2 linked regions of the Macaca mulatta genome follow. The protein of the gene in region 2 interacts with the protein of the main gene of each other region in a biochemical or structural test. Links are inferred from orthologs where the notes say so. Each region holds a gene or a part of one and is shown on either strand. Other genes may lie near its edges.

What was found. The genes of interacting proteins can lie anywhere in the genome.
Region 1: the proteins of ERBIN (region 2) and ABCC4 interact in a test that uses a peptide from one of them, tested with the Homo sapiens proteins (2 studies listed by BioGRID and IntAct). The link is inferred for Macaca mulatta from reciprocal best matches to the Homo sapiens genes ERBIN and ABCC4.

What each region holds. Positions count from the first base shown.
Region 1 is NC_133422.1:89,898,992-89,902,491, forward strand, and holds part of ABCC4 (ATP-binding cassette sub-family C member 4), read right to left. Parts: coding exon 3,356-3,500; intron 1,722-3,355; coding exon 1,581-1,721; intron 844-1,580; coding exon 806-843; intron 417-805; coding exon 322-416; intron 1-321. UniProt on the Homo sapiens protein: ATP-dependent transporter of the ATP-binding cassette (ABC) family that actively extrudes physiological compounds and xenobiotics from cells.
Region 2 is NC_133411.1:74,157,244-74,160,743, reverse strand, and holds part of ERBIN (erbin), read right to left. Parts: intron 2,210-3,500; coding exon 667-2,209; intron 1-666. UniProt on the Homo sapiens protein: Acts as an adapter for the receptor ERBB2, in epithelia. By binding the unphosphorylated 'Tyr-1248' of receptor ERBB2, it may contribute to stabilize this unphosphorylated state.

The DNA.
Region 1 (3,500 bases), on a different chromosome or scaffold from region 2:
GTATAATGATATAAGATTTAGCTAAAGCAACCTATTAGAATAGACAATAGCCACATATTTCCAGTGGCTGATTTTCTGAATGCTCAATCCTGGTTTAACTTTCAAAATCCAGTACAGAGCACATTAAGAGTCTTCATTCAACCTCTTTCTTCTAGTAGACTTTTAAAATAATTATTCTAATTAATTCACAGAGTAAATTCGACTGAGACTCCTAATCTGTTAAGACATTACTGAATTACTCCTGGAAGCCCTGGTTACTCACACAGGCTCATTGTAAGCACCTCAGCCTCTCATATAATAGACCAAATGATTTAACTTTACCTGAATAAATTCCTAAGTACCAGTTAAGATCTAGCTTCTTGGTTACATTTCCTCCTCCATTTACAGTGACATTTAGCGTACTTTGTTGGTTTGCCCTATGGAACATGGGGAGAAAAAAATATTAAGCTATATATGGAATTTAGAGAAATACCTTTTTTTAAAAAATGAACCACAATTTGAGAGAAATGCTTTATGCTGGAAAATGATTCTCAGCTCATATAGTCCTGTGTGTATCTACCTCATAAAAATTCAATTTAAATCACGACTTTCAGTTCCCGAAACTGTCTGTGAACATGATGCCGCGGATCAGACATGGGTGGAGACCACCACAGGTTACACTCCACCAGCAAGCACTCTAACTTTTCTTCGGGTAAACTAAGTGAGGATTAGAAGAGAAGGATCAACAAATATCTCCCCCTAACTCTACGGAAAAGCGAGTCTTCTTACTGATGTTTGACTATTTCATACGTCAGAAATAACTTACCAGTACGAAAGCCACCAATCTTGAAGAACATAGGCAACCTAGGAGGTGAGAAACAACAAAGACAAAAATCAAACTTGGGCATGACTTACCAACTCAAAACTCTCAATCGCTAACATGGACAATCGAAAGAAAGCCCTCAAAGCTGTGCGTGGTGGCTCATGCTTGCAACCCCAGCACTTTGGGAGGCTGAGGCAGGCAGATCAACTTAAGGCCAGGAGTTCAAGACCAGCCTGGCCAACATAATGAAACCCTAGGTCTACTAAAAATACAAAAATGAGCCTAGCCAGGCATGGTGGCACATGTGCCTGTAGTCCCAGCTACTCCGGAGGCTGAGATAGGAGAACTGCTTAAGCCCGGGAGGCGGAGGTTGCAGTGAGCCAAGATTGCGCTACTGCACTCCAACCTGGGCAACAGTGCAAAACTCCATCTCAAAAAAAAAAAAAAGAAAAAAAGAGAAAAAGAAAAAAATAGAAAGAATAAAAAGCTCAGAGAACTTGCATAGTTCTTCCAGCTCAGGTCTACGCTGAGCCCAAACTCCCAGATATCAAGAACTCAAGAAAACGCATGTTCCATTTTAAAATCATTGAAAGATACCCTTTTTTTTTCCGCAGAAGGTCTTTGTAATGGGACACCACTAGGCAGCCCTCACTTTGTTCCCCAAAGACAGCACATTTCAATTCAGATCCCAAGTGAACTGCAAGATGCAGTCAAAATAGCATAAACACAGGTACTGTAAATATCATTTTGAGGGCACAAAACAAATGTCATTATTTACCTGAGCTGCAGTGTTTAGGAGAATAAGGAAAATGATGACAATCCAGTGAGCACCAGCTCTGAAGTAATTCTTATAGGCCTGAAAACCAACTTTTCCTTCAGAACGGTTCTCGTCTGAGAGTGTAACTGGGACATTCTCCGTCTGCAAAGGAAAGGGTGGTAAGAGACAAAATCGTATACAAAACTGTTCCCAAAGATGACAATGCACTCTGTTGACAAAGCTGTGGGGAAACAGGCAGAAGTCCAAAATGATCCATCTCCTGTGGAGAAGGGTGTGGAAATATCCAGCCAAACTATACATGTACTTACTTTTTATTTATTTAATATTTTTTGAGACGAAGTTTCGCTACTGTTGCCCAGGTTGGAGTGTAGTGGAGCGATCTTGGCTCACTGCAACCTCTGCCTCCTAGCTAGGTTCAAGCGATTCTCCTGCCTCAGCCTCCTGAGTAGCTGGGATTACAGATGCCTGCTACCACGCCTGGCTAATTTTTGTATTTTTTAGTGGAGACAGGTTTTCACCATGTTGGCCAGGCTGGTCTGGAACTCCTGACCTCAGGTGATCCTCTTGCCTCAGCCTTCCAAAGTGCTGGGATGACAGGCATGAGCCACCACACCCAGCTACATGCACTAATCCCTGGACTCAGCCATCCCACTTTCAAGGTTCTACTAGAGGTAAGGAAATATCATTTGTACACTGTGGCATGGCTTGCTGGCAGGATGACATCAGAATGTCCAGCACTTACCGAGCACATCCAAATTCAAGTATACATACAGAAACTTGTTCCAAAATCATGTACAGAAAGATATGGAACTCTCAACTGCATCACTCAATATGGAAGCATAAAAGAGCAGAAGGTCAAAACATGAGCTCAATACAGTAACTGGGTTCAAGCAGTGAGTCTGAGTAACCAGAGTTTGGAAAGCAAGGGATAGCATATGATCCTAATCTGTTTGGTTCCTGAGTTTCAGAAATTGACTCCTGAGAATTTGGCATGTGAGGGCCTAATCTGAATATCTGCAAGAATCCTTCAGGCTCCTGGATTTGGATAGTGAGGGTTAGTGTGGCAAGGAATATCTATGTTTTTAAGTGAGCTCTGGTACATTTCTGCCTGGAGGACTTAGAAGGCATGAGATTCACATACTCTGAGGATGTACTGAGCAGCTCTATGTTGGCCACTGGGAATACCAAGATGAGTAAGATGCAGCTCCTACCCTTGAAAGGTAAAGAAGGAAGATGGGCTGCTGTGTGTCAGCAACTGTTGGGTCTTTGCACGTGCTACTTCTAGCCTAACATAAACCATCTGACAACAGGGCAAAATACCTCCCTCAGCCACGTGCGGCGTCAGAACATTCCAACATATAGGAAAAGTGGCTAACTTCATGTGGCCCACAGCAGGACTTTCTCTAAGGTGGTCTTCAAATTATGCCTCTGGATGCAAAGAGAAGTCGGGGTCTACCAGACTAACTAGGACTTCACTACAGTAAATTCAAGAATTGTAATATTAGCGTGAGTCACACACAGCTTGGGACTTGCACCAGTACACACACCTGCTACTCATCTCCATGACATTCCCCAGCCTACACGCAAAGGATTACTCCAACCAGAGTTGTTTGCCTTGGTTCTGTTTTAATCTACCAATATCACGGAACAGGGCCTTGAAACCACAGAATCTACTTTGGGACAAAAGACGATGCTTCAAACAGAGGAGACTAAAGATCCATAAGGCCATTAGCAGTCAACAAAACCAGGCCGTGTTGTAACAGGAGGTAACTCACATCTTGGGTCTCCACAGCACCATCTTTCAAGGAGGGTCTAGAAGATTGCTGAGACCAAACCGAAGACTCGGAGAAGGTGCGATTCCTCAGCGTGGGAGTTCCTGGAACTGGAAGTTGTTCGCTTTCCTCGTTGTCCTTCTTCAAA
Region 2 (3,500 bases):
TTTTTAACTCCTTTCAAAAGACGAACATCTACACATAAAATTATAAATTGAACATGAGCATCAGTTATTTAAGCAACTACTGCAAAGCCACACTAGAGCCACAGAAACACTTAACTGAGTTTAAGTAGGTCAGAAATGCAGAAATTCAGAAAAGTTAAGAATAAACGCCATGCCAGAAGCCATCTGTGTCAGTGACAATGTTAGTTCATATACTGTGGACTGGGGAAAAAATATTAGATGAAATATTTACATATGCAATACATTTTTGTTATTCTGTTAACTATATAGTAAACTTTTTTATATTTAGATAATCAACAATTATTAATAGCAAAGTTCAGAAAATGCTAAACAGAGATACATGTATTATTTTTAGTATATGTGCACAATCTCAAAGAGACAGACACATAAACATATAAAATTAATATTTTTGTTAGAAATAGTGGGGAGTAAAGGAGAGGATAGAAACACACATTATCATCCCAATTGTCCTGGCTGAGTTTAAATTTGGAACTCTATTCCCAGTACCAGAGAAAAACACCTAGAATATAAAGAGATAATCAGTAATTCAGAGACTCTTGTTTCATCTTGTTTAGAAAACAAAGAGTGCCAATTAAGGAAAATAATTAAGTTCATAAAGAAAAGAATGAAAAACTCACGTTCAATTACCTTTTCTAACTTTTTGGCTTCAATATGTCGAAGTACTTGTTCTCTCCAGTCATGAGGAACTTTACTTTTTCCTGGAGGATCTAATAAAGAATGCTCAGAACCAACCCTTGCATTTGGTCTTTTTGAAGGACTAGTCCGTGAATAATTGAAATCACTAACTGACATAGTTCTCTCTGGTATTTCATTAACAGAGGGTCGAGCACTCTGAGGTCTTGATGCATTTGGACCATCTATGCTGTATGTTCGTGCAGAAAGAGGTCTCTGTGATCCTGGCATCATTTGAGGAGTTCTTCCCACTGAGTGGAACTCTCTGTATGATAAATAATCTCCTTCAGGAATCTGGGCCCGCCTGGTAGAACCTGGATCACCAAGATTTACAGAGGCTGTGGAGGACACACTACTTTGTCGCTGAATTGTACTTCGAGTTACTGCAGGAATAAGTCGGTCGTTTGGTGAGATGGCCCACATTTCCCCATGTCTCGCTGGGCCAAGTCTCTGATGTAAATGGTATGCAGTATTAGCTCGAACATTGTTATGATTAGAGAAATTCAGATTGGCAGAATGTTTAGCATAACTTTGATTTTCTGTGCTCTCTGATCTAGGAAGGCGCTGAGGAGGAAAACTGGCATGATCTATTTGGGGATTTTGTTTGGAGTGCCACAAGGTGTCTTTGACTGCAGCATTGCTACTGTATTGGATATTATACTGTGGAGGACCATATATTTGAGGTGTAGATTGTGGGCCACTTGTGGGACCTCTTATTATATTTGGTTCTTCGGGATTATGATTTGAATCGAACTTGAAAATTGCCTTTGTTCCTGATATTAAATCAGAAGATGAAGAAGAACCAGTAAATACCTGCAATGGTTGATCATACAACAGTGTGGCAGACTTGCTCCTGACTATATTTTTTCCATCGACAGTAGATGTGATTTTAACGGTTGTACTTGGTTGCTGAGGTCCATTACCACTAAGAATATCATAGATTTTTAGCCCTCCAATCTCCATATTAGTTATGCTATGAGATTTCACAACAGATCCAACTGGACCACTTTTCTGAGGGGAGAGATCTTCAGTGCTTTTGGAAATACCTAAGTCAACAGAACAATCACTGTCATGTGGTTCAGTCCTATTAGGAGACTGTGAAGTTTCCTCAGAATGTCCATTTACCTTATTTACAGATTCCAAATTAGGATACTTGTTTCCATTTTCCAAGTGCTCAGTTTCCTCTTTAGAATTAATGCTTAAAAAGCTTGTTCCAAGCATGATATCCTGTGGTTTTGATCTTTCCATCTCTGGTTGAAACGTATCATTAGTTATAAGCTTATTAAGATTCATATTGATGTGATCTAATTTGTGAGTGTCATCAGCTGTGGCTGTTGAGTCAACACTTTTCTCAATTAGAACTAATCGCTCTTCGATATTCAAATCATATTCAGGTAAGTTAAAATCTTTTTTATCATGAGCTTTGAACTTTTCCTCTGTTGAATTGTTTAAAATATCTCCATTTTGTAAAAGGCTGTTAAAATTTTCATCTTCTTGCCTAAAATAAAGATAATTTTATGAAAAACATAATAAAGCCAAACTTTCTTAGTAACAGGGAACATTAATAAATAAATTGCGTAGGTAGACAAGTTAAAAAACTTAATAAATTAAGTCAAAGACAAAAGGCATTTATTATCAAGTATGTAATTTAAAAATATTATCTTAAAAGAGCTTTATATTCAGTTGCAGACAAGTAATACAATTAAGTTATAGATAAAACCAAGATTAATTTTCATCAATATGCTCAATCTAATTTGTCACAAAATTCAAAGGGCTGAACTATGAATAAAATTAGAATTTTTAATCTGCTGCATCTTTTCATGAATATGCTAAAAAAACAAAATGCTTGAAAGAGGGCAAATATATGGAAAGAAAACTAGTAACATGAATAGTGGAGTAAAGCGCACAGGACATTTTTACAGTTAATTTTGAAGCCTTACATTATTAACCAAATTAACCACAGTTAACGAAGTACACAGCTGTTATTACATTCAAATATACAGGTAAGAAAACTGTACAAAGCCAAGAACTGAATAATTGTCCAAAGTATTATATCAAATATGTAAAAGGCATAAAAAGATACATGAAGTCTAATCACTCTTCTAAGTAGCTAGCTGTATTTGGCAAATACTTTTAAAAGTGTCACTCCAAAATTATAGAAAATATTTTATTTTTACCTGGTGGTATAAAGTATTTGTGTCCTCTTGAATACATATTCAAGTTATGTTTCCACAAAAATTCCCTAATACTGGGTCTTCCCATTACAAAAAAGAAAACTTTCATTACTAGAAACACAGCACAAAAAGGTGTTGCTGTATTCCTTGCTTAGGCTTTATTCATTATATTAAAAGCAGGATTTAGAAAATATACCACTTTCCCAACAATAAAAAAAATTTTATTATTCAACAAATTAATACGATAATATCTAGGAGGTTATAAAAATTAGTATTTTAAACAGTAGCTCATAGCCTCAAATTCAAAGAATAGAAATAAATGATTGATTGTAATTACACAATACCTTAACTCATTTTCAGGCATAAAATTCATATCCCTTTTCCAACAATACATGTTAATATACAAATTTTACTTAAATACGCCTGAAATTTAAGAACAACTCTAAATGACTGTTAAAAATATCCATACATTAAGCTTTTGGTTTAGTAGTAACCCCAAGTAACCCCATTTTTTTTTTTTTTGAGACAGGGTCTCAATTCTGTCACCCATGCTGGAGTGCAGTAGCCTGATCATGACTTGCTGCAGCCTAAACCTCCCAGGCTACAGAACCTCCC